4 linked regions of the Saccharomyces cerevisiae S288C genome follow. Changing the gene in region 4 together with the main gene of any one other region gives a genetic interaction. Each region holds a gene or a part of one and is shown on either strand. Other genes may lie near its edges. The genes, in order: NPR1, DUS3, ACS1 and MET22.

Evidence for each region.
Region 1: mutations in MET22 (region 4) and NPR1 together harm fitness more than expected from each alone (negative genetic interaction), as found in Saccharomyces cerevisiae (2 studies listed by BioGRID).
Region 2: of MET22 (region 4) and DUS3, a mutation in one rescues a mutant of the other (synthetic rescue), as found in Saccharomyces cerevisiae (one study listed by BioGRID).
Region 3: mutations in MET22 (region 4) and ACS1 together harm fitness more than expected from each alone (negative genetic interaction), as found in Saccharomyces cerevisiae (2 studies listed by BioGRID).

What each region holds. Positions count from the first base shown.
Region 1 is NC_001146.8:289,016-297,139, reverse strand, and holds NPR1 (serine/threonine protein kinase NPR1), read left to right. Parts: upstream 1-1,630; coding exon 1,631-4,003; downstream 4,004-8,124. Other genes in the region: chromatin-binding/pre-rRNA-processing protein IPI3, read left to right, coding at 1-1,180; YNL184C (uncharacterized protein), read left to right, coding at 4,257-4,583; mitochondrial 54S ribosomal protein uL11m MRPL19, read left to right, coding at 4,471-4,947; ubiquitin-specific protease UBP10, read right to left, coding at 5,264-7,642; SWT21 (Swt21p), read right to left, coding at 8,073-8,124. UniProt on the Saccharomyces cerevisiae protein: Nutrient-regulated protein kinase that promotes the activity of at least 6 distinct transport systems for nitrogenous nutrients under conditions of nitrogen catabolite derepression.
Region 2 is NC_001144.5:921,743-929,973, forward strand, and holds DUS3 (tRNA dihydrouridine synthase DUS3), read right to left. Parts: upstream 2,707-8,231; coding exon 700-2,706; downstream 1-699. Other genes in the region: zinc-coordinating transcription factor SFP1, read left to right, coding at 3,826-5,877; SEI1 (seipin), read left to right, coding at 7,001-7,858; DUS4 (tRNA dihydrouridine synthase), read left to right, coding at 8,047-8,231.
Region 3 is NC_001133.9:42,381-50,460, reverse strand, and holds ACS1 (acetate--CoA ligase 1), read left to right. Parts: upstream 1-5,438; coding exon 5,439-7,580; downstream 7,581-8,080. Other genes in the region: oleate-activated transcription factor OAF1, read right to left, coding at 1-1,897; flavin adenine dinucleotide transporter FLC2, read right to left, coding at 2,211-4,562; ubiquitin-protein transferase activating protein PEX22, read right to left, coding at 7,742-8,080. UniProt on the Saccharomyces cerevisiae protein: Catalyzes the production of acetyl-CoA. Provides the acetyl-CoA source for histone acetylation in the nucleus. 'Aerobic' isozyme of acetyl-coenzyme A synthetase, which supports growth on nonfermentable carbon sources such as glycerol and ethanol.
Region 4 is NC_001147.6:204,604-211,865, reverse strand, and holds MET22 (3'(2'),5'-bisphosphate nucleotidase), read left to right. Parts: upstream 1-4,689; coding exon 4,690-5,763; downstream 5,764-7,262. Other genes in the region: APM4 (Apm4p), read left to right, coding at 1-1,346; CRT10 (Crt10p), read left to right, coding at 1,601-4,474; phosphoinositide 5-phosphatase INP54, read left to right, coding at 5,981-7,135. UniProt on the Saccharomyces cerevisiae protein: Phosphatase that converts adenosine 3'-phosphate 5'-phosphosulfate (PAPS) to adenosine 5'-phosphosulfate (APS) and 3'(2')-phosphoadenosine 5'-phosphate (PAP) to AMP. May regulate the flux of sulfur in the sulfur-activation pathway by converting PAPS to APS.

The sequences.
Region 1 (8,124 bases), on a different chromosome or scaffold from region 4:
TATTATATGGCAAACTGTTGACTTGGTATCAGCGTCCAATGATGATCCTAAGCCTTTATGTATCCTTCACGATCATACTCTACCCGTGACAGATTTCCAAGTTTCTTCTAGTCAAGGAAAATTTTTATCATGTACTGATACGAAACTCTTCACAGTATCTCAAGATGCTACCATTAGATGCTATGATTTGAGTTTAATAGGCAGCAAAAAGAAGCAGAAGGCAAACGAAAATGACGTTAGTATTGGTAAGACCCCAGTATTGCTTGCGACATTTACAACTCCTTATTCTATCAAATCCATTGTACTGGATCCTGCTGACAGAGCATGCTATATTGGTACTGCGGAAGGTTGTTTTTCATTGAATTTATTTTATAAACTAAAGGGTAATGCTATCGTTAATCTGCTACAGTCCGCCGGAGTAAACACAGTTCAAAAAGGTAGGGTTTTTTCCCTAGTGCAACGTAACTCACTAACTGGCGGCGAAAATGAAGATTTGGATGCACTATATGCAATGGGCCAACTTGTCTGTGAGAATGTCCTAAATTCAAATGTGTCATGCCTAGAAATATCAATGGATGGTACATTATTATTGATCGGTGATACGGAGGGGAAAGTTTCTATTGCGGAAATTTACTCAAAACAAATCATTAGAACTATCCAAACTTTAACTACATCACAGGATTCAGTTGGAGAAGTGACCAATCTCTTAACCAACCCTTACAGACTCGAACGTGGAAATTTACTTTTTGAAGGAGAATCCAAAGGCAAACAACCTAGTAATAATAATGGTCACAATTTTATGAAGATACCAAACTTACAAAGAGTTATCTTTGATGGTAAAAACAAAGGCCATTTACACGATATTTGGTATCAGATAGGAGAACCAGAAGCAGAGACAGATCCTAACCTCGCATTACCACTTAACGACTTTAATGCCTATTTGGAGCAGGTCAAAACGCAAGAATCGATATTTTCACATATCGGTAAGGTGTCAAGCAATGTAAAAGTGATTGACAATAAAATCGACGCCACTTCATCTTTAGACAGCAATGCCGCTAAAGATGAGGAAATTACAGAACTTAAGACCAACATAGAAGCATTAACTCATGCCTACAAGGAGTTACGTGACATGCACGAAAAGCTGTACGAGGAACACCAACAGATGCTTGACAAGCAATAAACGGAATAGTCGCGCATTTTGTACAATAAAATAGGAATGTTATTAAAATATACAGCATAGATAGATATAATTCATCACTTGTGCGAAACATCTCATTCTCAATCTGACTGATCATCTATTACGGAATTTTTTCGTTATCAATGACGCATCCCACAATTCCTACCCTTATAGCTTATCTCAGAATATGGGCCGCCTTTAGTTGTATAGAGTTAGTACGGATTAGTCAGTGGCGTACCTAGTGGCAACAATCGGCAGTGACTAAAAATCTTGCTTTTGTTATTGAAAGAATAATAAACAGGAGTTCTCGTTCCTTTGCGTCATTTTCAACCCCATACAAACTAGTTGGCTTGTACCAGAACTCATTAATACTTTTGTCTAACTCTTTCCTATTTCTGATTTTCCAACAGCTCATACCCATTCAAACAAAAAAGGAAAGCTCTACGAAACATTATGTCTTCATTAACTCGATTGCTACAGGAAAAACGAAAAAATGAAACTTCGAACTCATCACCGAGAACTTCTGCTGATACGTTGACCACGACGCCCGAGTCACAATCGCTTGACCTTCACTCTAGGAATAAGAGTAGTAGTCATATTGGTAGCGTGAGTAATAGCAGCAGTAGTGATCGTAATAGGGCTAACGTGCCAGTTCCTGGCAGTGTCACAACTGTTACTCAAATATACTCAGAGGAAGATTCATCATCAACAGCCGGTTCCTCTCTCGACGATAGGAATCAGTTTTCCTCCAGCTTCCTTAATGCAAACTTTGCTCACACTGCATCATTCTACGGCACAAGTGCACAAAGTAGAGATAGATTTGGATCCTTAATAAACGATCAAGGTACTGCAGGACTTTCCTCACATGGTGGTTCTTTTGCTGCACAGAACAGAATCACAAGTAGATTATCTACCACGTCACATACTTCAGGAAGGGCCATTCCTTCTTTATCATCAAGTATACCTTACTCCGTGCCAAATTCTAACAAAGATAACAATAGCTCGAATAGCAACAGCTCCTCTTTGTCTTCTTCGTGGCTCGAAACATATGCAGGCGGTATGCCCAATAATATTTCTGCAATCGATTCAAATGTTATATCCTCCCCAAAAGTAGATAGCGTGGAACCACGTTTTGTTATCTCCAAACAAAAACTCCAAAAAGCATCGATGGATAGTAATAATGCAAATGCCACTCAATCAAGATCTATATCCCGTTCAGGTTCATTCTCTTCACAGCTTGGGAATTTTTTCTTTTCCAAAAACTCAAAAGAATCTTCAAATTCTAACTCTGCAGGCATGTCTTTTTCTGCCAATTCCAATGGTCCTTCTCCAAACATTAAGAATCCCAATGTTACCAATGGTTCGACGCCTATCCCGAAGCCTATCCGCGCAAGACAAAGCAGCATATATTCTGCATCAAGACAGCCAACTGGTTCCTATACTGATAACTTTTACGGTTCCCCCTCATCTGTACATGACCACTTACCTCCAAGTCAAAGTGTTCCAAGGTCACAACATTCTTCCATCGGTGATTTAAAGAGGTTCTTCAAAAAAAGTTCTAACAGTAACCTTTCCTCGAATAGTAACAACGTGATCCCGAACGGATCACCTCTTTCTAGCGGAATTGCCGTTCCGTCACACTCTCATTCATCGTCTCATTTTGCCGCAGGGAATAACTCATATTCCACTAGTTATAACGGAAATGGAGATACTATTTATTCTCATAGTCACGGCGGTTCAGGAATTCCGTTCTCAAAAAGGTACATCAAAACCGGTGCCGATTTAGGCGCTGGAGCAGGAGGTTCTGTCAAATTAGCTCAAAGAATTTCAGATAACAAAATATTTGCAGTGAAGGAGTTTAGAACTAAATTTGAAAATGAATCCAAAAGAGATTATGTCAAGAAAATTACATCAGAATACTGTATTGGTACAACTTTGAATCATCCCAATATCATTGAAACAATTGAAATCGTGTATGAAAATGATAGAATTCTCCAAGTTATGGAATATTGTGAATACGATTTATTTGCTATTGTAATGAGTAATAAAATGTCCTATGAAGAGATTTGTTGTTGCTTCAAACAAATACTTACTGGTGTACAATATTTGCATAGTATCGGCTTAGCTCATAGAGATCTAAAGCTAGATAATTGTGTTATAAACGAAAAAGGTATTGTAAAATTAATCGATTTTGGTGCTGCTGTGGTATTTTCATATCCATTCTCAAAAAATCTTGTGGAAGCAAGTGGAATTGTTGGAAGTGATCCATATTTAGCACCTGAAGTCTGTATATTTGCGAAGTATGACCCACGTCCCGTAGATATTTGGTCTTCTGCAATCATTTTTGCATGTATGATACTGAAGAAATTTCCATGGAAAATTCCGAAATTAAGGGACAATTCATTCAAACTATTTTGTTCCGGACGTGATTGCGACTCCTTAAGTAGCTTGGTTACAAGAACTCCTGATCCACCTTCCTACGATGAATCGCACTCAACAGAAAAGAAAAAACCCGAAAGCTCTTCCAATAATGTATCAGATCCTAATAATGTTAATATCGGGCCACAAAGATTGTTGCACTCATTACCAGAAGAGACTCAGCATATTGTTGGACGTATGATTGATTTGGCGCCCGCATGCAGAGGAAATATCGAAGAAATCATGGAAGATCCTTGGATCCGTAGCATTGATATGTGCCACTTGGTTGAAGATGGATTATCGTTCAAAGTGGTTAGAGGAGAAGACCATCATCACACACAAGTGGATCAAAGTGAAGCACATATTGCAGGCCTAGAAAAGAAAAAGAAAAAGCAAAATAATCAATAAATAAGCGTCCCCACTTTTATTTCTTTTCCAAGCATTTGTATATAACCTTTTTTTATCCTATTTGAGTATATGTTAAAATACAATGTCATATTTACTTCTGTTAAACTAATTTCATATTTTACCGTTCTATAGAAGCCTAAATAGATTGACCTCCTGTTCATAATCTACTATTTTATCAGAAAAATGTAAAAGCTTAGTATGATAATAATTAATGGAAAAGTTCGTTAAAATATCGCGCCACTAATTAATAATAATGAAGCGGGTAACATTAATTGTCTTACCAAGGCGACAATTCCCTTTTCTAAAATTTCACAGCAAAGAAGCTTTAGAAAGTGCAGTAAATCTACAACTCATAAGAAGGAAAAAAAGCGTGAACATTCAAATCGACAGCGTAACCTTCTGTATTTATTTCTGTTTGTTGTACTTTCGAACTCTCGAATACCATAGAGGAACTATTAGTCTCCATAATGTCACAGGCAGCAAAAAACGTGATAGTAAAGCTAATAGTAGGAGCAGGCCAAGCGGCACCATCACCTCCCGTGGGGCCCGCATTGGGCTCCAAGGGTATAAAAGCCATTGACTTTTGTAAGGAATTTAATGCAAGATCAGCAAACTATCAGCCAGGTGTACCGGTTCCAGTATTAATCACAATAAAACCTGATAGAACATTTACGTTTGAAATGAAATCTCCACCAACCGGATATTTGCTGCTAAAAGCTCTTAAAATGGACAAGGGACATGGACAACCGAATGTGGGGACAATGTTAGGCAGTGCACCTGCCAAGGGACCAACCCGTGCTTTAGGAGAGTTATCGCTGAAGCACGTTTACGAAATAGCCAAGATAAAAAAGAGTGATGAAAGGCATAGTTTATTGGAGATGGAAGGTATTGTTAAATCAATAGTTGGCGTTGCAAAAAGTATGGGTATTAAGGTTGTACCTTGATCTGTAAGTAGTGAAAAGACAAAAAAGTACCGTCAATTTCGAGAAATTTTCAACAGACCTTCCTTCTTCTTTCTACTGATCTATTCTGTAAATATGTATATAAGTTTTAAATTCTCTTTCTCCCGTTATGTTAGCAAAGCTCGGTAGTACTGAAGCTATTCTGAGTAAACGCTTCTCCAACTCTGTATACTGAGAGTTGTTTTATAAGTCAATAAAGACCGGATATTTATATGTATATATTGATTTGGTATAATAAAAATGAAATGCTAATAAAAATGCCTATGAAAAGAGGAAAATCCAGGAATATCGAGTTTTTTCATTTGGTGAACTTCCTTTTTTTATTTTTTTTCCATTTTTTTCTGTTATTTTTCTTGCTATTAATCTTCAATGGGCGGTTATTTGGTTCGTTAACAGCCTGTTCCTGTTTGGATTTAGAGGTAACATTACCAGTGGCCATGGCAGATTTCGCCAATGGCAATGGAACCGATTTTGGAGTTAGCCTCGTGTATAGGAGATAATATGCGTTGGGTTCCTTTAAAACGTCCCTTTCAGATATTATATTAATATACTCGTCGTCGTAAGTGGCCCAGCTACCGTCTGGTTGCTTGCAGTGGGCAATGTAGTGACCTGAAGAAAGGGAGCGGCCCTCATGAACCACCACGCTTAATAGTTGGTATTTGACAGGTAGCTCTTTACTCTCACAATATTCCGTCAAATCTAAAAACATAGGATAAGAAACAGCTTGCTTCATTTTTGATGAGGACGTGCCATTGAATCTGAATTTTTTCAGATGCACAAGTAAAGTTTCAGGAGCCCTTAATATTGAACTATGCTTCACGGCGTTCGTGGTCTTGTGACACTTCTCACAAACGTAACCCTTTTGCTCCTTGTCAACCTTGATTAATTCGGGATTGAAGAAATCTTTAATTGATTTTTCAATAGAAAATCTGCGGTTGGCTGAACTTAAATCACTGGCAGCGGCAAATGGTGAGCCATTGTTTAAATTGACAGATGAAGAGGATGAAAGAGATGGTTTTGTGGCAGCATTGGAGGTAGTGGTAGAAGTGGTGGCTGAAGTGCCGTTAATGCTATCACTCGACAGGTCAGAATTTGGATCAAGTTTTTTCTTCCCTTTCAAGTGCAACGATAAATCGTAAAATGGTTGTTCTGTTTTAGATATACTGCCACAAGATTTGCAAGTAACGATCTGCTTTAAAAGACCACCGAATATGTCATATATTATCGATTCTATAAGTTTATGACCCTTGGGAACAGAATCTTCCTGTAATCTTGACATCAGAGACATGAAGTACTCATGTGAATCTTCCTGCTGCCATTCGCTCATCATACAATTAATGTCATCCAATCTGGAAATCAAATGTTTTGGATTAATGTAGGAAGCTGAAACGTTCTTTCTAGGGTTTTTTGAGACCGGTAACCACATTTTTTTACTTGTTTCAGCTAAAGTATAGGAAACGGAATTTTTTGAGATGGTGCTATCGTATTTCCCCATTAGTATATCAAAAAGATAATGTTGTATCGAAGGAATGTGTAACATAGCCTGTACAGCAGCATTTGTGTAACAAGTAACACCATGATTCAAAAGGCCACGAGGCTTCAAATTGGTGAATTTGTCGCCCCAATTTTTAACAATTCTAGTAGAGTTTAAAGAACCACGATCATTGATATTTTCATTGAATTGGTAAAAGTTTGATAGATTTGATATTGTAACCGGAGGGGTGATTGACCTAGATTTATGTTTCAGCTCTTCTTCCTCTTCTTCCTCCTCCTCTCCCTTTGGATTCCTGTTTCCATTTTCTTTGGTGTTGTTTACTGGTTCGTACCGATTTACTTCCACTGTACTATTTTCCATTAAATCTTGATATAAACTCTTTTTTTCGCCTTCAGAAATTTTGGAGCTGGAATCGTTCTCCTCTTCTTCAGGGAGCTCTTTTTCCATAGCACTAGAATCATAATCCATGTCATCCTCATCCTCGTCGTCTTCTATTTCGTCATCACTGCTAATGCTTGTAGACAGTTCCTTTCTTTTTTCCTTTTCATTCTCATTAGATGAATCATCAATGGTTGCTAATGGAGAACCCAAGTTTTCACCAATGTCTTCACCAATGTCTTCACCGATGTCTTCACCGATGTCTTCACCGATGTCTTCGCCGATGTCTTCACCATCGCCCTTATCTGCGTTGTCGCGTTCCTTCAAACTAGCTTTTCGGGGTTCTACATAGTCTCTTGCCTCATGAAATATTTCACCCTCTTCCTCTTCCTCTTTTCCTACTTTGTCATCTTCCGAAGAAGAGGAAGGAGGCTCCGTAGAAAGCTCCGTAGAAAGCTCCGCTGACTTCTTGGCACCAGTAGCATCTGCAGCATCTTTATCATTTTTAGAAGTATACAACAATAAAGCTTCAGCCATAGATTTAGGAACAGTGTTGGTTTTCTTTCCGTTTGGCCTGTCTATCAAGTTATTTTCTTTTATTTGCTTGGATTCGGCCGTTGCAGCAATAGCTGTGCTATTACTATTGTTATTATGCTGTTTTCCTATCACAATATACGAGCTATTTTCCGGCGCGGCGGAAGTATCATTATTATTCGATTTGTTAGAGATCATTGCAGCATTGAACTGCAGGGGATTTGATAGGATTCTATCTACCAAAGGTTTGATCGATTCTTGAGTGGTCATAGTCTGTGATTGTGATATGACAATAGGACGGATTTACAGATACTATGAGTTGTAGATTCTTTCCGTTAGTTTTTCTATGAAATATTATGTGCAGTACAGAACAAAAGAGGCTTCAGACACTATGCATGCTCCTGTGTGCAGTATATGATGCTTAATAGCTTCTATGAAACAAATAAAGGACAGAAGCGGGGATGGAAGACTCTGTTAATGCTTTACAGGGAAGTTTTTCCCGATGGTGGCACTATATAAAAATAAGAACTTTTTTCTTTTCTTTTGGGGATTTTTTTCGATGCGAAAAAAATTTTTTGACGGCATGAGGCAAGAAGTGAACAAAAGAGGTGGTGTCTGGGGGATGCAATTTAACTTCTTACTTGTGCGCGTTCATCGGAGAAAGCTGGCCGGGTGATACACGAATACGGGTTTGCCGTTTTTAGCCGCCGAACCTGCATAATGAAATTGTGCCCCCATGAGATAGGGCGAAC
Region 2 (8,231 bases), on a different chromosome or scaffold from region 4:
GCGACGACGCGCGACAAGCGACGACGGCCGACGTTGTGAGTTCACGGAGCAAGCCTGAAGTTGCTGCACACACAAAGTGCGCGGGGCTACTACAGCGGGGGCACGGGTGCATACATCTTCAAGAAGAAAAAGGTGCTGGGTAATACAAACACGAATCGACGTAAAACGTTATTGTACTTCCTTTCCGCGGCTAATAGCAACTGCAGCGTAGGAATAAATATGCCAAAAGTGTAAATCCAAGCGCCTGATACAAAGTAGATGTTGAATTGTTTTAAAAGACTTACTCAAGTACCAGGAAGGAGCTATGTGAACGGGATGTAATGAACTTTCCAGACACCCCAGTTTGCGAAATGCCTTTTTTCAGAGGCGACTTGCGAGATTCAAATCACTGCGCGTTTTCTAAATCCACCTGTATTTACCTGCTATTTGAGCCACTCAGGTACAGTTGCATCAGGTTGATAGTTATGTTCATTTGTGTTGCGATGATAACCTGTCCGAACTCGTTAAGATTTTCTCAATACACTTTTCTCCGCTCCTACCTAACCCTTCCCAGCTGTGCTTATTTTGATTTTCTTGGAACCCATACCTCACGTTTGAAATTGACACCCGTACATATTCCAATTCTCGTCTTGCAAAGGAAAAATAACCGCGCTTACCCATCAGATATGATTTATGATACATGTACACTTGATTTTCTATTTAGGAATCTCTGTTTGCATAAGAGCTGCTCTTATGTTTGGGGACAAATACAAAGTTCTCGTCGGTTTTACCGAAAAATAGATCACTTAGCTTGATCCAATCATTAACATCCGTACTACCCATTAGAGTTTCAAGTTCGTCTCTTCCACACCAGTTTGGCGGTCTCTCATTCAACTTCACAGGGTATCTTTCACAAATACCCATGGGGACATACCTATGAAAAAAGGACATGAACTCGCAGAAGAATCTACGACATTGAGAAATGCCGTATTCGTCGGTGCCCCAGTGTTCCATAGAGAACTGCGCATAATCCCTTAAAATGTCTAATCTTTCCGTACTTGTCTTGTCTAGATACTGCTGCGACTCAACCTCTTCAAAAATCCATGGTTTGATCAGGGCCCCTCGAGCAACCATAACACTATCAATATTTTCATTTCCGTTCAAATAGCGGTACCAGTCTTCAAAATTGTTGACATCACCATTTCCGACAAATTGAATTCTGTTCTTGGAATCCCTGCCTTCTTTGCCTTGTTCGGTTTCGATGAAATCCGCTTCGGCGGATCTCAAGGTGTCAGCCACTTGACTCACGTAGTCCCAATCCGCAGACTTAGTGTACCTTTGTTGCCTAGACCTACCGTGTAAGGTAATCGCAGCCACATCAGTTTCGTTAACCAGTCTTTTGACTAACCCTTCCGCGATAGGATGACCTTCCTTTGTACCTGTTCTGATCTTCACCGTGATAGGAATATCTTTCGATACGTAGTTCATCGCGTTTAAACAACGAATCATTCTTGCAGGGTTATCCAGCAGGGCGCTACCAGAACCTTGTCTGTATAGCAAATCGATGGGGCAGCCAGAGTTTAAGTTGATTTCACTTATTTCACTGACGGAGTTTGCGAGTGCTTCTGCAGCCTTTGCCGCCTGCCAGGCTTTAGAACAGGCCACTTGAACCCCGAACCCGGGGAACTCTGATGTGTGAGCTTTAGGTAACGCCCACTCAGAATTAGTTCCTTGAATTAAGGGAACTGCCAAGGCCATTTCCGAATATGTCACATCTGCACCTAACTTTCTCATTAGACGACGGTATGGTAAATTGCCTACGGTTGTCAATGGCGACACGATTTTTTTGTGGTACAAATCCAGTGGCTTTTTTTCTTGAGCAAAATAACGAGTGTCCTTGTACTTCAAGTATACTTCACGCTGTTTCATTCTATGTTCTGACAATTCTTTGTTCCTCTGTTCGACTTGGGGGGCAACTGGTTGTTCCACATCTGGGTCTTGTTTCTTCAGCTGTGGCGTTGACTCAACTTCTTCTTCTGGCTTCATGGAATCTCTACATTCTTGTTGGAAAGAGTCGATGATTTCCAATATTTCATTACTTTTTGTGAAAGGAAATCTTCTTTTTATAAGATCGAGTTTTCTTTCCGGTGAGATATGGTTTACCTCACCTTTAACGGACCATATTGTTTGCGCATCTGGATCAATCTCCTTCTTCGATATTAGGATATTATCTTCTTTATTCAGATGAGACGATAAAAATCTGCATTTGAATCCCATGGGGCAAAATCCCAACGAGTTGAAGACCGGACAGGAAGGAAATATATTACTTTCAACTTCAGGCTTTTTTGTTGAAAGGTACAGATTGATATCGTGAACAAACCTACAGTTATCACCAAAGGAGCATTTAGATATATCGCCATGGATCAAGCGTGGGCACAAGACATTCTGTTCCTTGACCTGCCTGTTATCTCTATTCTTGTTTTGCCCACGCTTCTTACCTCTTCCGTTCTTATTTTTCTTATTAGTCCCACCTGCAAACTCGTTTGTCATTCTGTCGGAAGACATCTCTTCATCATAGATGGCGACCTTCTGGTTTTCATTCTGCTTCAATGGTACAATATATTCTGGTTTGATATGTGCAATACCTTTGGACGGGGAAGTGTCTTGTCTCTTCACGGTTGAGTTGTCGTCGCCAACAATAGAGCGTTTTTCAGCGTTTTGCTCCATCAATAATGTTTAGAAGTTGCCTTTTTTTCCTATTCTGAGTTCATTAATGTTTCATTACTGCTCATCTCATCACTACACATTCGAACTAAATTCTTCATAACTTTAACTAGATCTTATGAAACTTTTCAAAAATGGTGCACGGGCTTTCTGTATATTGAACTTTCCGTCGCTTTTCGGAGCTACAATTCCCCTACCCGGCTTGTCGGCATTAAGTCTCTTCATCCCGTGTACTATTACCCGACAGGTTTCTGCGGCATGTTCTGTGGAACGACGGTACGGGCGGTGACTGGGTGCCAAACAGTGCGGCGTTCCCGTGCGCAAGGTGGTCTGCGGTAGGAAAAAGAAACAAAACGCGCCTACGTCGTGCAAGGGGACAGGATTTTGTCAGTTACATAATAAGGAGCAATTTCGAATCAATTGAAATTTGGAACAAATGGGCGATGCATTCGTTAAAAGGCGATTTTGTATCAAATAACGTCACTATCAGCCATTGTCACTTGCCACTGTCGCCTGCCACCGCTATTGCCATTATCATTTGCTTTCGCATCGTCACCGATTTAAAGCTCTCTAGGCTAACGTACGCATTTTACCTCCCAGGCCCTATCTCTTTTCTACCTGTCATCCCTATATAACGTCTTGTACATTCTAGTGGCTCCGTTAACAAGGTTTGACAAATATTACAATCAAAGAAGGATAGCGCTAGTCAATCTAATCATTAAGTTCGCTTATAAAGAGAAGGAAAGCTAGATTTTTTTTCTACTTCAATTACATATCGGTGCTTCTCTCTGGTGGTTTTCTGTTTTTCTAATATTGATCGATTTTACGGTGAGTTAAACTACTTCCTTTTATCGCAATATCATATTTAGAGCGAGAAAGCAAGAAGAATAAAGCTAGGAGAAAAAAGCGCCACGATACATTCATACTAAGTTTATAATATACCGGTCGTCTTTTGGCTTTCTGATACCATATTATATCCTCGAAACACTTTCTCTGGATTCACCTACTATTAATCACCTCAAGATTTCACTTGTAAGGCGTTTTCAAATTTATTGTTATTAAAAGACATATTCATATTCAGTATTTTTATTTTTCTTCGAAACAGGAAAAGCTTATCTGAGTATGGATTTTACAACAATGACTATGGCAAGCAATATGGCTACTAGTACTACTACGACGGCTACATCGGCACATGCATCTATAAATTCGTCATCAAACTTTAATATTGATATTGATTCGAACCAGAATACTCCTTCCATTTTGATAAATAACAATTCGGATTCTTCTAATGGAAAAAACACAGATTTTAACGGCGTCAATAATATTCACCAAAAAAATATCATGAATAATACAAATAATGTTCATTTGTACTCTCCAAATATAATGGACCAAACGCTACTAACTCCACAGGACATTGCCAAGTTACGGAGAGAATCAATAGCCCATTCTCAAGGGATGGGTGGTGTTTCATGGGGATCCATTAGTGTTGGTTCTTGGTTAAGAGATGAAATTATTAGCCGTAGAAATAGTATTGTACCTGCATCAGCAAACGGTGCTGCCTCCGCTGCCGCTTCTGCAACCACTACTGCCACTAATACTTTGCAGATTCAACAACCAACTAAGAGACCCTCTGTTAGTAATCCGCCTTACCATAGAGGGTATTCTATTTCTCCTCAGATAGCCTACACTGCTTATCTGCCAAATCTAGAAAAGCAATATTGTAAAGATTATTCATGCTGTGGTCTTTCCTTACCAGGTTTGCATGATTTGCTGAGACATTACGAAGAAGCTCATATATCCACGTCTCCTAACACTACCAATATGTCACAAATACCGATGAACTCTGCTGGTAACACTAGTTCATCAGTTCGTATGACAAATAATACCTCTTCTGCCAACTATAACCTGCAGAATAACATGGCCGCTAATACAAAAAATGCAGGTCATAAGACTAATACTATGCAGGCTCATAGCAGCAATGCAACTAATAACACCTCCATTAATAATATGCATGCCAATCTTCAGAGCAACATGGATTCCAACTCCACAATACGACAATCTCAGCATCCTCACCATCAGCAGAATATAATACAACAACAGTTGCAATCGAATTCTGTAAATCATACATCAGGGGCTGTACCCACACCGAGTGTAATGGGTTCAGCAACTGCGTCGTCCACAACTGCAAATCCAAATGTGATATCTATAACGGGTGCCCCCAACTCGGGCTTATCTATGGCTAATCACTCTCAACAACTACATCTGAATGGTAATCTAGTCGATGCCGTTTCAACGAATGATGTGTTTTTAAGAACGAGCAATTCTCCATCAAGACACGTTCCGCACAATAAACAAATTAACAGTAACAATAATAGTGGTATCAATATCAATAATAATACCTCACACAATTCTAATATTAACATGGGTAGTAAAAACGCCATGGTGAATCGTCCACATACTTTTAATAACTATTCCTTGAACAAAACGTCCAGGAATCCTATTCAACATCAATCAAGAAAAATTGATCCTCATCAAACCGATTTATCACCTCTGGTACTTGTCCAAGATATAGATTTAAGTTTTATGGATGATGATATTTTGGGCCCTAGTAACCACAATTCCATGAACTCTGTCGTAAATCCAACTACAGGTTCTCACAACTACAATACTTTTCATTCTTCCGTACACGCAAAATCTTCTCAAAACATGGTCGAGGATCAAGACATTGATGACATTGATGATGACGATGATGTTGATGATGACGATGACGATGACGATGACGATGACACAGAAAATGGCTCCAGTTCCAATGGAAAATCAGTTCATAACAACAATTACAAGATGCCTCAGCAAGCTTATATAGACGATCCTGCGAGAAGGCTCTATGTAATGGATCATGAGGAACAAAAACCCTTTAAGTGTCCAGTTATTGGTTGTGAAAAGACTTATAAAAACCAAAACGGTTTGAAGTACCATAGGTTGCACGGACATCAGAATCAAAAATTACATGAAAACCCTGACGGTACATTTAGCGTAATAGATCCAGATTCGACAGATTCTTTTGGTGATGGAATGGGCTCTGCAAAGGATAAACCATACCGTTGTGAAGTTTGTGGTAAGAGATATAAGAACTTGAACGGTTTAAAATATCACAGGGGCCACTCCACTCACTAAGATATAATTGTTTCTTTACTGAATTGATTTAGTATGCTATTTAGATACTAATTCTACCGTTACCGACTCATGCATCGAGCGGCCGCTCTTTCTCTTGTTGTTGGGCGCAATTTATGTGATCATCTTTGAACGAAAATGCATGATAAAGCTGTGCTCTTCGACTGTTACCATTAATTTCAAAAAATAAAAAGCATATCTATTATTGAAAAATGAACTTATAATAGAATAACATTTTCTTGTTTTGTCATCATTTCCTCTAAATACTCCGTCATGAAAACGATTTGCGCTCTGTCTGGTCTCTCCTTTTAGTATTATTGTTGTGTGTTTTTTACTATTCATTTTTTACTACTGTGTTTTTACTATATATATTTTGGCTTTACTTACTTCCTTCTGTTCTGATGTATTAAAAACTATTTTTATTCTAAGAAAAGAAACTTTAATTCTTCTTATTCATGCTCTAAATCTTAAATAAAAGGTTCCGTTTTTTATCTGCAATTCTGTGTATTTGTAAGTGAATTACCATGCACGTTGTCGGATCGTTTTTCTAGGCAGAAACTATCTTATTGAACCATTAAAAGATTACTTAAATATTACAATTAATCTTACGAAGCATATTAATTAGACTGGAATTACAGCGCAACTATCACAGGTTAATAATTGGTTGAGAAAATATTATAGTTTTGTTAGTAATGTTGAACTTTTATTTTATACACTTATGAAAGTAAATTAATTCAATATCAATAATAATATACTATAAGTAACTTAAAAAGCAACCTTCCTCCCAAACCTACAATCCAATCACGCTGATAAGTATTATCTAGAAAGTTGACAACACCAAGCCATATGGTCAAGAAACATTTATTGAGAGTTATTTTGTAAATAAGACTTTTCGTCATCCATATAAAGCAACCTAATTGTTCATCTAATACTAGAGTCGCTCTTTTGAAAGTTAAGTATAACTACCTCATCATTAGTTGCTACTATGTGTATAATTTGAAAATCTCAACGTAAGGTTATTAAAAATATAAATGCGCGTAAGACAGAAAAATAGAGACAGCTTACGGCAAATTATCAAAATGTGAATCCAAGGTTTCAAGAAAATAAGATAAAGTGAATAGGAAGGATGAAAATCAATGTATCCCGTCCATTACAGTTTTTACAATGGAGTTCATATATTGTTGTTGCATTTCTGATACAATTGCTAATCATTCTTCCTTTATCGATCTTAATATATCACGATTTTTACCTAAGACTATTACCTGCCGATTCCTCTAACGTAGTCCCCCTTAATACGTTCAACATTTTAAATGGCGTACAATTTGGTACAAAATTCTTCCAATCTATTAAAAGCATTCCGGTAGGTACAGATCTGCCGCAAACAATAGACAATGGCTTATCACAGTTAATCCCCATGCGTGACAACATGGAATACAAGCTCGATCTAAACCTACAGCTTTATTGCCAGAGCAAAACTGACCATTTAAATTTAGACAATTTGTTAATTGATGTTTACAGAGGTCCAGGCCCGCTATTGGGTGCTCCTGGAGGAAGTAACAGCAAAGATGAAAAAATCTTTCACACTTCTAGACCTATTGTCTGCCTCGCACTGACGGATTCCATGTCGCCTCAGGAGATCGAACAACTAGGCCCATCACGTCTAGACGTTTACGATGAAGAATGGCTAAATACAATAAGAATAGAGGACAAAATATCGTTAGAGTCTTCATATGAAACAATCTCGGTGTTCTTGAAAACGGAGATTGCCCAAAGAAATCTAATAATACATCCAGAAAGTGGGATTAAGTTTAGGATGAATTTTGAGCAGGGATTAAGAAACTTGATGCTTCGAAAAAGATTTTTATCTTATATTATTGGCATTTCAATTTTCCATTGCATAATATGTGTACTTTTTTTTATCACAGGTTGCACTGCATTCATTTTTGTTAGAAAGGGTCAGGAAAAATCCAAGAAACATAGCTGATAGAATTGTACTTCTCGCTATATAATTTTAAAACCTAGCTGTTATTTTCTAAGTAAGTAGGCTCTTCCAGCATTCTGCTTCTTCGCCCTGAATAAAAAAAAGATGATCAGCGAAAAAACTCAAAATGAAAATAAGAGATGGATTCTTCAAAGTTATAATTCATATGCAGAATAAAGATTCTAAAGAAAATGCACACAATGCATATTCCATCCGGTGATGTTCTGATACCGAAGCCGAAGCTTATTACTGAAGAAACAGATCCACTGCATATAATAAAGACGAGGCAAAAGACACATGGTCGGCCCGTGACCATTGCAGGCCCAATGGTTCGGTATTCCAAGTTACCATTCCGTCAGTTGTGCCGAGAATATAA
Region 3 (8,080 bases), on a different chromosome or scaffold from region 4:
CAATCTTTTCTCTTATGAATTCAATTGAATGCAAATGGAAACTACCATAGTATGTCATCGTCAAGTTATCTAAGTCCGACAGGAGTAACGCAAGCTGGGCTCTCTTGAATGTAAATTTATGAATTCTCAAAAGTTTGTGATTATTGATATCGCTTAGATCGCCCCTAACTCGGTTCATATATACCGTCAGAGAATCAGGATCCTTAATATTTAGGAATAAGGCCATTAAAGATATCGGTGAGACAGAATGTCTACCTTTGAGACTTGCTTCAAACGAACAAACGGTAACGATACTCAACCAGAGTATTCTTCTGTGATTCAAGGTTCTTTTATCTGAGGTGGACGGGGAAATCAATTGAGGGAAATCTGAAGGATCTCTGTGGAGACCAATCGAGGTGGAAAGCATCATTATCAAACTACTGATAACATCGGTGGGGTGCTCGAGAAAGAAATCACCCTCTTCAGGAGAAAAAGCAAAAAAAGACCAGATATATAGTAAACATGATATGATGTTTTCATTAGCGCATGCACACCAATTTTCCGATGCTAGACATCTTTGACTCAATAAAATAAAATCGTTCGGTATTGGGTATTTATCAATTATTTCCTTTGAAAGATAAAAACTCGAGTCTGCTGTACTATGATCTAAAAACCTTATTGACATGTATGAGAGTTTCAAGATAACCAATAGAAGACTCAAGTTTTCCACCTTAGCTCTCAAATGTGTGCTACCCATACGTATTTGCACCTTGGAGGGGTTGTTTGGGTCCGGAAAAATTGTTTGACTTAATGATTCTTCAAAAATTTCTAATTCGATGAAAGGTAGACTTGGATAAACGTACTCATAAAAGTGGTTCTTGTAGCGTTCAATAATTTCGTAAGATGGCAAAATAGCTTCACATTCATTGATCAAATTTCTCAATAAATCCGAATATTCGCCACCTTGAGGGCAATGATCCTCCAGATATTGGTAACCGACAGAATTGTAAAGCATTGATAATAGCATACCGATTTTCAAGTTTCTATTTGAATTTGTATTTTGTAGTATTCTATCAGTGAATTCGTTTACACGATTTTTTTCATCTTCGGTTTGACACTGTCTGATTAGCATTTCCTTCAATTTCAAAAGGTTATTTGCTACGCTAGGCTGGGCTCTTGTAATATTCGCGTTTGCCGTCAATGCCGGTATCATCGTGTTCTTTGAAGTGTCAAGGAACACTGAAGTGACCAGGATTTTTAGAAAACAGTCCTGAATTATAATATAATTTTCAGATAACGGCTTAACTTCTCTTTTCATGACTTTACTCATGATCATGGTTGGATGACTTCTATACAAGTTGATTTCAATATCATTTCTGGTACCATTGTTTATATCCCCGTTACCACTTTGTTCATATATAGGTTCCATTTTATGCTGCTTCTTGGTATCAGGACTGTCCCCGCTAGCATTGTTTGTATTGATCGGACTTGCTGATCTCTTGCCTGATTCATTCACCTCTCTCTCTGTTAGTAGCTTCATAGCTTTATCTTTCCAATAAAACATATCTTTTTCCAACCTTGATATAATGGCGTCTTTACTCGGAATTCGTGGTGCTGGCTGTTTTGATACGTCATAAACACATTTTAACCCATGCTTGACGCATCGACCACATTCAGGTTTTTCTCTATCACACTTTGTTTTTGACTTCCTACAAGCCTGGCAGACAAACAATATTCTATTTCTTTTCCTATTATGTGTTTCGGAGTTCTCGGGGGCAGGCGATGTGCTTGAGTGCTCAGCTTCTAATCCAGGCGTTGGGTTATTGAACCCTAAGAAAAACGCCTCCGAATATGGCTTGGTAGAGCTATTATCATCATTTCCGGCATGTGGGGCCTTCTGCGTACTATTTTCGACCATGACTTACGCAACCTAATCTATTATTAACCTGCTTCTAACACAAAATAGCCAACAGTAAATCCCTTCTGGAGGATCTGTTTCCTTCTCTACACGTCAAAAAAGATGTCAGAAAAAAGCGGCAATTGCGTACATTTAAGGAAGCAGAGCCAAAGCGAATTTCACATTTAAGGTTTTTATCGCTGAAATATGTGTGGTGTTGGGATGTAATGGAGATAATACACCTTTTTGAGCGGTTTTCTATGAAATATAATGTAGGATATCCTTGCCCTTAAATATTTATATAATAAGTTGTTACATGTGAGTATATATTGGATTACAAATATGGGTTGTTGTTGCGGGCGTTTTCGTTGCTGCCGTTGTTGTTAAAATGCGAATATGATTTATTGGAATTCCCCAGGTAGAGACTTGATTCAGGCTTCATTAAACTGGAGGTGCTTGTATTATTCGGCGCTAGATTAGTACGAGAAGCAGATGACGCACGTTGGTACTGTGGAGACAAGAAGCTGCCACCCGTACCCATGACAGCGGAGGTTGGTTGCACAGGTTGCTCCGTTACTTCCGAGGCATCGAAGGGAGAGGAATTTTGCTTAAAAGAGGATGAACTAGTCTCATCATCAAAGAGTCTTGCTGTATTTGTGTTTGCATTCAGGTTCTTGCCGAAAGTGTCGTCACGGAACATTTTTTCTTCCTCATTTTCATTGGTGTCCATAACAGCTTTTCTCAATTCAAACAGTTCAGAATCATTTTTGTTTTTGCCATCGAAATCATTTTGAATCTTAGGAATGAATGACACACGGTCATCTTTCATTGGTTGGTAACGGACATCTGGGTTTCTGTGTAGTAATGCCAGTGTACAGGTGACAATAGTGAACAATAATAGGAATAGAGCAAACACCGCGTTCAAAACGAACAGAATAACCGCCATCACTGACGAAACCACTGCTGGTTGCTTGAACAAATTACTGAAAAACAAAAAGAAAAATGCATTGATCAAATTCACCAAATGAATAGCAATATTGAAAACATTAGTTCTCTTGTCCAAATATGGTCTTATCCAACAGAGACAAACGAAGTAAGCTAGTTCAATGACAAAGATGATCATTGCTTGAGCCTTACCTTGGTTTTGTAAAACGGCAACAAACAGGGATCTTAAGAACGCATAACTTAATAAGGGTAAAAGCCACCAAAACTTATCTGCTTTGAATTGAACGTATAAGAACCCAAACTTGTTCAAGAAGTAGGTATCACTGTAAAGTAGGTACGCAGGATTCTTGTATAATCTGAGAGACTCTCTTCCCTTGATGAAAACCCTTATAGTTCCATAAACCAGAAGTCCCGTGATGATCAGTAATATTACTACCGCATCAACAACAATCGCTGGAGAGTTGACCTGAGTAAATTCCCAAATCGCCAGAAGAGAAACTTGAGGGAAGGCGATGATAGATAATCTGAAAAGGGTGCCTTTGATAATACTCCCCCAGTTCTTCCTATATTGGAAGAAATTGGAAGTCTCTTTCAATATTCTTGCTCTTGTAAGAACTTCCAATAGCGCCTTAAAGAAAATCAAAGAGACGACAACTACAAATAGGAAGAATAGAAAAAACACAATACCGGTCAAAAAGAAATTAGATAGCTCAATATTAGCCAAATAAGCAACTCTTTCTATACCTCTTAACACGAGAATCTTGGCTGAGTAATTGCTTGGATCCTTCTCAGAAGTGGTGTACAGATTCGAATCGTCTAAAATGGTGTCAAAATTGTAATCACTAGACGATGCCATAGAGATAGCACGTTTTTGCACACTAATGGACAAGACGTCCTTGTTAGCTACCACAACATTTGAGACACCATTAGTGGCCTGTACGTACCAATCAAAAATCTTTTGCATGAAGTTTGTATTGATGATACCCATGGACCATTGGAAATTCTGCGTCCACGCGGCAGCAATGGGTGGAACCCTTGAGACACCCATCATTGCAGTGATAGCTAGATTTTGGAAGTATATGAACAATGAGATGGAGTTGGACGCAATGTGAGCAGCAGTGGCTGAGTAACCGATCACAGACACAAACCCTGAGGTAAGTACACCGACACCTGAGATAGCGGCAATGGGCCAGGCCGCATACTTTGTTTGCACTGTCTTCCCGTTACTCAAGATAGCCTGGACACAAGCCAGCGGAGTTTCGAATTCCGTGTCATTCTGAGCGTATGCCACCACACGTACTTGTGCGTCCAAATCTGGAATGGTGTAAGCAATGCCGGGAAATTGCTTGGTAATGGATGATTCGATCACCTGTGTGGACATGACATCAATACGCCCAGCACTTAGGGGGCAAAGCGATACTTGGCCCAAGGAACATAAATCAAAAGTCTTATCCAGGACTTTCAGTCCGTAAGTAAGCAGCTCAGCCTTCACAGTGACGTTCCCATTAAGCGTCGTCGTAGCGTCAATATCAAAGATAACAGTATTATTATCGGGGTAAAATTTCACATCAAAGAATGATGCCGTTAATTGCGAATTGTCCATACACGTCAATAAAGAAGTGGTCTGCAAATGCTTTGCAGACGCCGGAGTAGTGTCGTTTGTGTCAGAGGAACGTGCTGTACCGCTGCACAGTACGAAACACGTTAAAAGGCACCTTGCGAAGGTGTTTAGGAAGATCATGGCTATATAATCTTTTTATCACGTCAATATAATCGTAATGAAACAGAAATGAATGTATTATAATACACTGAAACACGGTATAGCGCAGCAAATTGTTTTAGTTTAAGGGGTATAAATGTTTTCCAAGGGTGGTGTTCTATATATATATGCCATTCATATACTTTTAATAATGTTCTATACGTATTCCCGTGAAGGCATTAATGATTATCTTTTTCTTTAAAAATGCAAGATGGCTGAGTAGTCGCGCGAAAAAAAAAAAAAAAAGAAACAGCAAGGTTAATTTTAGAATACCAACAGGAAAAAAGAAAAGATTATCCTCCCAGAAAAACAATCTGTTTATTACCCGACATTCTTAAAAAAACAAAAGCAAATCACATGTGCACATACGTCCAGAATGATATCAAGATAAATGGCACGTGTATGTACGGCTGTGTAAATATGATAATCATCTCGGACGAACGGCGTAGCACTCTCCATCCCCTAAAAATGTTCACGTGTGACTGCTCCATTTCGCCGGATGTCGAGATGACCCCCCCCCCTCAAAAGGCACTCACCTGTTGACATGCCGTGGCAAATGATTGGGGTCATCCTTTTTTTCTGTTATCTCTAAGATCCAAAGAAAAGTAAAAAAAAAAGGTTGGGGTACGAATTGCCGCCGAGCCTCCGATGCCATTATTCAATGGGTATTGCAGTTGGGGTACAGTTCCTCGGTGGCAAATAGTTCTCCCTTCATTTTGTATATAAACTGGGCGGCTATTCTAAGCATATTTCTCCCTTAGGTTATCTGGTAGTACGTTATATCTTGTTCTTATATTTTCTATCTATAAGCAAAACCAAACATATCAAAACTACTAGAAAGACATTGCCCACTGTGCTATGTCGCCCTCTGCCGTACAATCATCAAAACTAGAAGAACAGTCAAGTGAAATTGACAAGTTGAAAGCAAAAATGTCCCAGTCTGCCGCCACTGCGCAGCAGAAGAAGGAACATGAGTATGAACATTTGACTTCGGTCAAGATCGTGCCACAACGGCCCATCTCAGATAGACTGCAGCCCGCAATTGCTACCCACTATTCTCCACACTTGGACGGGTTGCAGGACTATCAGCGCTTGCACAAGGAGTCTATTGAAGACCCTGCTAAGTTCTTCGGTTCTAAAGCTACCCAATTTTTAAACTGGTCTAAGCCATTCGATAAGGTGTTCATCCCAGACCCTAAAACGGGCAGGCCCTCCTTCCAGAACAATGCATGGTTCCTCAACGGCCAATTAAACGCCTGTTACAACTGTGTTGACAGACATGCCTTGAAGACTCCTAACAAGAAAGCCATTATTTTCGAAGGTGACGAGCCTGGCCAAGGCTATTCCATTACCTACAAGGAACTACTTGAAGAAGTTTGTCAAGTGGCACAAGTGCTGACTTACTCTATGGGCGTTCGCAAGGGCGATACTGTTGCCGTGTACATGCCTATGGTCCCAGAAGCAATCATAACCTTGTTGGCCATTTCCCGTATCGGTGCCATTCACTCCGTAGTCTTTGCCGGGTTTTCTTCCAACTCCTTGAGAGATCGTATCAACGATGGGGACTCTAAAGTTGTCATCACTACAGATGAATCCAACAGAGGTGGTAAAGTCATTGAGACTAAAAGAATTGTTGATGACGCGCTAAGAGAGACCCCAGGCGTGAGACACGTCTTGGTTTATAGAAAGACCAACAATCCATCTGTTGCTTTCCATGCCCCCAGAGATTTGGATTGGGCAACAGAAAAGAAGAAATACAAGACCTACTATCCATGCACACCCGTTGATTCTGAGGATCCATTATTCTTGTTGTATACGTCTGGTTCTACTGGTGCCCCCAAGGGTGTTCAACATTCTACCGCAGGTTACTTGCTGGGAGCTTTGTTGACCATGCGCTACACTTTTGACACTCACCAAGAAGACGTTTTCTTCACAGCTGGAGACATTGGCTGGATTACAGGCCACACTTATGTGGTTTATGGTCCCTTACTATATGGTTGTGCCACTTTGGTCTTTGAAGGGACTCCTGCGTACCCAAATTACTCCCGTTATTGGGATATTATTGATGAACACAAAGTCACCCAATTTTATGTTGCGCCAACTGCTTTGCGTTTGTTGAAAAGAGCTGGTGATTCCTACATCGAAAATCATTCCTTAAAATCTTTGCGTTGCTTGGGTTCGGTCGGTGAGCCAATTGCTGCTGAAGTTTGGGAGTGGTACTCTGAAAAAATAGGTAAAAATGAAATCCCCATTGTAGACACCTACTGGCAAACAGAATCTGGTTCGCATCTGGTCACCCCGCTGGCTGGTGGTGTTACACCAATGAAACCGGGTTCTGCCTCATTCCCCTTCTTCGGTATTGATGCAGTTGTTCTTGACCCTAACACTGGTGAAGAACTTAACACCAGCCACGCAGAGGGTGTCCTTGCCGTCAAAGCTGCATGGCCATCATTTGCAAGAACTATTTGGAAAAATCATGATAGGTATCTAGACACTTATTTGAACCCTTACCCTGGCTACTATTTCACTGGTGATGGTGCTGCAAAGGATAAGGATGGTTATATCTGGATTTTGGGTCGTGTAGACGATGTGGTGAACGTCTCTGGTCACCGTCTGTCTACCGCTGAAATTGAGGCTGCTATTATCGAAGATCCAATTGTGGCCGAGTGTGCTGTTGTCGGATTCAACGATGACTTGACTGGTCAAGCAGTTGCTGCATTTGTGGTGTTGAAAAACAAATCTAGTTGGTCCACCGCAACAGATGATGAATTACAAGATATCAAGAAGCATTTGGTCTTTACTGTTAGAAAAGACATCGGGCCATTTGCCGCACCAAAATTGATCATTTTAGTGGATGACTTGCCCAAGACAAGATCCGGCAAAATTATGAGACGTATTTTAAGAAAAATCCTAGCAGGAGAAAGTGACCAACTAGGCGACGTTTCTACATTGTCAAACCCTGGCATTGTTAGACATCTAATTGATTCGGTCAAGTTGTAATGATGATTTCTTTCCTTTTTATATTGACGACTTTTTTTTTTTCGTGTGTTTTTGTTCTCTTATAACCGAGCTGCTTACTTATTATTATTTCACCTTCTCTTTTTATTTATACTTATAATTATTTATTCTTTACATACTGTTACAAGAAACTCTTTTCTACATTAATTGCATAAAGTGTCAATCAGCACATCCTCTACATCGCTATCAACAACAAATTTGACAAACCTGCCTATATCTTCAGGAACGACTGCTGCATCGCTACCACCACTACTTGTGAAGTCCCTGGAGTTCAATATGCACTGAAATTTACCTAGCCGTCTTACACATGACCATAATCCATCCATGCTATCGCAATATATGATTTTGTGTTCGTTTTTCGTCTTGCGAAAGGCATCCCCAATGGCTTGTTTCATTGATCCATCAGTGTGGCTCGTAGGTACCAGCAAAACCACTTCATCAGCGGCGTACTCCTCCCACTTTATGGGCAGTCCTTGTATCGA
Region 4 (7,262 bases):
CGCCTGTTTTGACACTGGGCTCAACTACTTTCCATCACATCAGGTCGAGGCATGGTGACAATTTGTGGTTGGTAACCATTACGAGAAGCAACGCTAATAGTGCGGCGATCTGGGAGTTCTTATATAAGCTTGATGCAGTGATGAATGCTTATCGATTGGATAGAGAGGAGGCCTTGAAAGAGGAATTCATGATTGTGCATGAGATGCTGGATATAATGTTGGGTGGAAATGGGATACCAATTGACACTGAATTGAACTCTGTTATAGCGCAGATGTCTGTGAAACCCGTTAGAAATATGGGCGGATTGTTAGATAGTCCCGATGGAAATGATGTATTATCTTCCTCTTCATCTCCTACTTCTTCAGCAGGAGAACTACATTTTCCCAAATTTTTGACAAAAAGAAGCAGTAGTTTCCTGGGTCAAGGAGACTCCACTTCTGATTTCTATGATAACAATAAGATCACTTGGAGGCCCAAGGGGATAATACACAAGAAGGATGAAGTTTTCTTGTATGTCAATGAGAGGATAAACATTCTGGTATCTAGGGATGGTTCTATCTTGAAATCATACGTTGATGGCACCATAGATATCACCACACACTTGAGTGGGACCCCTATTTGTAGATTTGGATTGAATGATTCTTTGGGAATGCAGTCCGAAGACGAGAAGAAATGGTTAGCACAGCAGCAGCGTCACTCTGGCAGCGATTTTGGAAACAAGAACTTCATTCCCAAAGCTGCTGCCGGTAGTGTTTTGTTGGAAGATTGCAAGTTTCACGAATGTGTCTCACTTGACAAATTTAACAGAAATCATATCATTGAATTCGTCCCACCAGACGGTTCGATGGAGTTGATGAAATATCATGTACGAGATAACATAAACCTGCCGTTCAAGGTTACACCTATTGTTACACATTCTACAAGAGATAACGAGATTGATTACAGGATAACATTGAAGTCTTTATTTCCTGGAAAACTTTCCGCCAAAGATGTGGTACTACATATACCCGTTCCACCAAGCACTGTGGATTGTAAGATAAGTGTCTCTAATGGCCACTGTAAGTTTGTGCCAGAAGAAAATGCAATGATTTGGAGGTTCAACAAGTACAATGGGTTGACGGAAAACACTTTAAGTGCAGTTACTGTGTCCACAAGTGATACTACTCAATTGAATCTTCAACAATGGACAAGACCTCCAATATCCCTGGAATTCGAGGTCATGATGTTCAGTAATTCTGGCTTAGTCGTACGATACTTTACCATTTCTGGAAAAGACAGTAAGCATCGTGCTGTAAAATGGATTAAATATATATCGAAAGCCGGTTCTTACGAGGTGAGGTACTAGCCCGTAATTTTTGTGTACATATATTTTTATCATGCCTGTATTTTTTATAGTAATTTCCTTTAGAATGCACATTTTGTTAATATTGAATATTTTCTATTATGAGAGACATGCAATTTAGTTTTTCATTGAAAAGAAAACAGGGAAAAAACATGGAAAAACCATACAAGACACCAAAAACACCATAGTAATGAAGATCAACAGCGCAATCAAGAGGCACTGGTACTTCTAGGCTTGAAAATTTGGTTTTGAATATAATGCCCCCTCAGATTCCCAATGAAAATGATGATCTCTTTACAAGGTGGCTTAAGTCTCGGGCCATCATACAAAGGGCAGTATCGACAAGAGAGTGCTTTGACTCAGAAGTATTTCTGGCGTCTGGTGGCTGGAATATAACGAATGAGATAATAACGTTAAAGAAATATTATCAACTCAAGTGGCCAAACTCCAGTTGCAATTCGTTTCATCCAAAAACCGTGGAGTTTATTAAAGAACGATTACACAACCTAGAAGAACATGACTCTTCATGGAAAATCCCAAATCCTGCTTACTCATTCAAGAAAGCCTTCTTGGAGGATACTAAATCTGCATTTTCCAACTTAGAACCCGTCTGGGGACCATCAAGGCTTTTGAATCCAGCTGAATTACTATTGCCACAGGACGAAAAACTACTTGTTCAAGAGATACCACTAGAGTTCGCACCTTTTCAATACACAAATAGGTTTGCTTATGGTGGTTTGCAGTTCAAGAACAATTTGTTCGTCACTTATGGGAGTTATTCCTTCCTGGCTGCCGGTCAATGCGTCGAAGTTCATAATTTCGATATACTATTGAACGTTTCGTCATTAGAAATATGTCACGCCTTATTGCCCGTGATAATACCAGATGACGGAGATGTAAGAAACTTCCGCAATTCATCATATGTGAAATTTAAGGATACACAGTTCAACAGCATACCTGAACTATGTTCTATCAACTTTATGAAGATTTGTAACTTCATGCATCAAGATTTTCTACTAGCTTGCGGTGACAACGGAATCGTTTATATCTGGGAAATCAACAAAGTTATTAAGATATTTAATAAATTTACTTCGGATATCTTGGGAGGCAAAGATAACAGCCGGGAAAGATACATAAATGTTGATCCATATATGGTGTTAAGAGTAGAGGAATCTTGTTGGAGTGTTGATGTAATAGATATAAATGGCATCATATATATCGCTGTTGGCCATAACAAGCCTGGAGTTACAGTCTTTGCATTCGATAAAGATGTAAAGAAGGAAAGACGGTACATTCGGCCTCTAGATCTTCCCTCATCTCACAATGTTCCTTGTGTTAACTTTGTTCCTAATTCAAAAGATTCTGTTGGATATATTACATTAAGTTATTGTTCTATATTTGGGAATGTTGTTACCGTTAAATTAAAGGAGCATGATTGTACCATTTTAACGAGTTTCCTTGATACTCAATTTTTTGGCGACGACTTATGGACAATAACTCCACTGACTAAGAAGGATTTTGCGAAAGTTGACAATTTCGAATTGTTGAATCTTAACTACCAAGACGGTTTCAAAGAAAGCATGTTATATTCTATTTGCCGAGATGATTTTTTACTTGGGTATTACTGTGATAACGCCTACCTCTCTGGGAATTTCGGTATTGGTACATTACTCAATCAATTTCAGGTTCCTGTCACAGACCTACGACTGACTTCTTCAGCAGGGATCCCCGATGAAGTTATACCATTAAGATTTACCTCATTTGATAGAAATTACACTACAACGGGCTCGATAAAATACGAGTACAGCAGAGAGGATTTTGCACTTATTTTACATGCCGGTGACTTAGACGATATGAATGATGCAGTGACAAAAAACACCTCATGTGAACAGCATTTACACCAATGGACATTTTGGGAGGATTCTGGTTATAAACATTATCGTGCTACTGAGCGTGGATTTTCGAAATACAAGGATATTATTAATACTTTTCCACAGTTGATAACTCCTAGTGGAAGAAATAAAACATCGCAATATCAAAACACTTCTGGGAGAAAGATCTGTGAGCCGTCTACTTATAAACTTACTGATCTCGAAAATGATATTGAAGATATATCTCGCGAATTTAATAGAAGTATTCGTAATTTGAAAATGGATAAACAAAGACAACTACGAACTTCAAAAGAGTTCAAATCGCTAAGTTCAGTAAATCATATACCAAATATTGAATCGGGAAACTTTTTATGGTACAACACCGATGCCGCTGCCGATTGGAGAACACTTTTTGGCAAGGATTTGAACACGGTCTTGAAGGACCCAGAAATTTGTAGCCTTCAACTGAACTCTACAGAAGAGGACGATGTCAATAGCGACCCTGAAAATGAAGAATCTGGTAGCAGCTTAACAAGTTTCCAGCGAAGATATAGGGATACTGAACAGCGTGCTCACTTGAAATCAGAATCGCAGAAATCTTGGGGGTTCCACAACTATGTAAGAAACGTCAAGCGGTTATTAGAGTCAGCAGTACCGGGCTCAGAAGATTCGCCTCTTGGGTATCAACTATCCGAAATGCACGACGAGTTCTTCTTCCTAACCACAGCCCATAGGCTGGTGTTGATGAAAGCAAATCCACTCATAATTATATCAGCAACTCATCATGAGATTTTTCCCTTAGATGGTGTTGTGACGTGTGCTTCCAAGTCGCTGCTCCAAGCACTAAACAGAATAAATTTTGTGTGTCACATCAAAGAACTAAATTGCATAGCCGTGGCTTCACAATTGGGTCTCATTTCATTACTAAGACTAACAGAGTACAGAGGCATCTATTCGTTTAGACAAGAGTATATTCTTGGATGGGAAGTCCAAGACCCTGTTAACCCTAGTCCAGAGTGCAGATGTAACAGGAACTTGTTTGACGCACCAATGTATGGTGCAGATGGAGAGAGCTCGGACACATACTGCGGCGTGTGCGACGTCTATTTCCCCATGGGTGATATTTGCGGACTAGATTACACTTATGCATCTGACAGTGAAGAGTTAAAACGTAAGGGATATGCTACCTTATACGTAGCATCAAGAGGCTCCTTGAGGGCATTCAAGATCACAACTGAGCATGGAACAACTCAACAATAGCATATTTTGACATTTACATAGCCATCTATATAATAATCCTTCCTTCATTGAAATGCGCGAATGACTCAGACGAGCAATATCACGTGTTGCGATTTTACTTTCAGTTTGCAAAGAAGAAACCATGCCACATATAAAGAACGTTTGCACTTCTCTTTAATTTATTAGTTAGTAAGTAAGAAGTTTAAAGACAACTCAGAAGACATCAGCACTTTACTATGGCATTGGAAAGAGAATTATTGGTTGCAACTCAAGCTGTACGAAAGGCGTCTTTATTGACTAAGAGAATTCAATCTGAAGTGATTTCTCACAAGGACTCCACTACTATTACCAAGAATGATAATTCTCCAGTAACCACAGGTGATTATGCTGCACAAACGATCATCATAAATGCTATCAAGAGCAATTTTCCTGATGATAAGGTAGTTGGTGAAGAATCCTCATCAGGATTGAGCGACGCATTCGTCTCAGGAATTTTAAACGAAATAAAAGCCAATGACGAAGTTTATAACAAGAATTATAAAAAGGATGATTTTCTGTTTACAAACGATCAGTTTCCGCTAAAATCTTTGGAGGACGTCAGGCAAATCATCGATTTCGGCAATTACGAAGGTGGTAGAAAAGGAAGATTTTGGTGTTTGGATCCTATTGACGGAACCAAGGGGTTTTTAAGAGGTGAACAGTTTGCAGTATGTCTGGCCTTAATTGTGGACGGTGTTGTTCAGCTTGGTTGTATTGGATGCCCCAACTTAGTTTTAAGTTCTTATGGGGCCCAAGATTTGAAAGGCCATGAGTCATTTGGTTATATCTTTCGTGCTGTTAGAGGTTTAGGTGCCTTCTATTCTCCATCTTCAGATGCAGAGTCATGGACCAAAATCCACGTTAGACACTTAAAAGACACTAAAGACATGATTACTTTAGAGGGAGTTGAAAAGGGACACTCCTCTCATGATGAACAAACTGCTATCAAAAACAAACTAAATATATCCAAATCTTTGCACTTGGATTCTCAAGCCAAGTACTGTTTGTTAGCATTGGGCTTAGCAGACGTATATTTACGTCTGCCTATCAAACTTTCTTACCAAGAAAAGATCTGGGACCATGCTGCAGGCAACGTTATTGTCCATGAAGCTGGAGGTATCCATACAGATGCCATGGAAGATGTTCCTCTAGACTTCGGTAACGGTAGAACGCTAGCTACGAAGGGAGTTATAGCGTCAAGTGGCCCACGCGAGTTACATGACTTGGTGGTGTCTACATCATGCGATGTCATTCAGTCAAGAAACGCCTAAATAACATATATTTTACTTTATTGATAGACATAAATATATGAGTACATATATATATGTGTGTATGTGTATGTACATACCAGTTAAATGATAACCTTTTTTTATTGTTGTTATAGCGTGAAAAAAGGAAAATACAGTGAAAAGAACAAAACTGAAGAGGTAAGAGTAGGCTAACAAAGAAGAAAAGTGAGACAAGAAAATACAGCAGGATTCTGACCGAATGAACAAAACGAATTGGAAGGTATCTGTAACTACATTCAATTGTGGTAAGGAATTTCCCGTTGAAAATTCGAAAGCAATCGTTAAGCAATTGCTTTTCCCCTACGATGACGGCATCTCCCAATTGGAATTGCAAGATCTATATGTGTTGGGGTTCCAAGAAGTAGTCCCCATATGGCAAGGCTCCTTCCCTGCTGTTAATCGTGATTTAATCGATAGAATTACAACTACTGCGGTTAATTGTCTGAATGAAAAAGTGTCAGCTACACAAGGGGATGAGCAGTATTCATGTTTAGGGGTGAATAGTCTTGGGGCGATTACCATAATAGTATTATACAATAATAATGCGCTAAAGGTAAAAGATGATATTTTGAAACGGAATGGGAAATGCGGTTGGTTTGGTACACACTTGAAAGGTGGAACTTTGATAAGTTTTCAGATGACACGCAATGGCGAGGAGAACTGGGAAAGATTTAGCTATATTTGTGCTCATTTAAATGCAAATGAAGGTGTCAACAATAGAAATCAAAGAATAGATGATTACAAACGAATAATGAGTGAAGTGTGTGATTCTGAGGTTGCAAAAAGCGACCACTTTTTCTTTCTAGGCGATTTGAATTTTAGGGTTACTAGTACTTATGATCCAACTACCAATTATTCGTCCACCACAACGTTAAGGCGTCTATTAGAAAATCATGAAGAACTAAATCTGCTACGTAAAGGAGAGGATGAACCGTTATGCAAAGGTTTTCAGGAGCTGAAGATAACATTTCCACCGACATACAAATTCAAGTTGTTTGAAAAGGAAACATATAATACAAAAAGAATCCCGTCGTGGTGCGATAGGATTCTCTACAAAAGCTATGCAGTGCCAACTTTCGCACAAGAAGGTACTTACCATTCCGTCCCTAGGTCCAATGCTCTATTATTTAGCGATCATCAACCCGTTAATCTTACCGTAAGATTACCAAGGTCTACAGGGACGCCAGTGCCGTTATCCTTACATATCGAAAAGTATCCTTTATCATGGAGCTCTGGCCTGATTGGACAAATTGGTGACGCAGTCATCGGGTACTGCGGTTGGCTAGTTACTAAGAATGTACATTATTGGATATTAGGTTCTTTACTATTATATTTACTATTAAAAATCCTGTAAAGTGATCTGGGCTGTCAGGCTAGAAGTTTTTCATTTATGTCTGAAACAGATAACGTCAGTTGTACCACTATCTTTGGTTTTATTCTTTTTATTTTCTCTTCCATATATCTTTACAGAACTTAAGTAA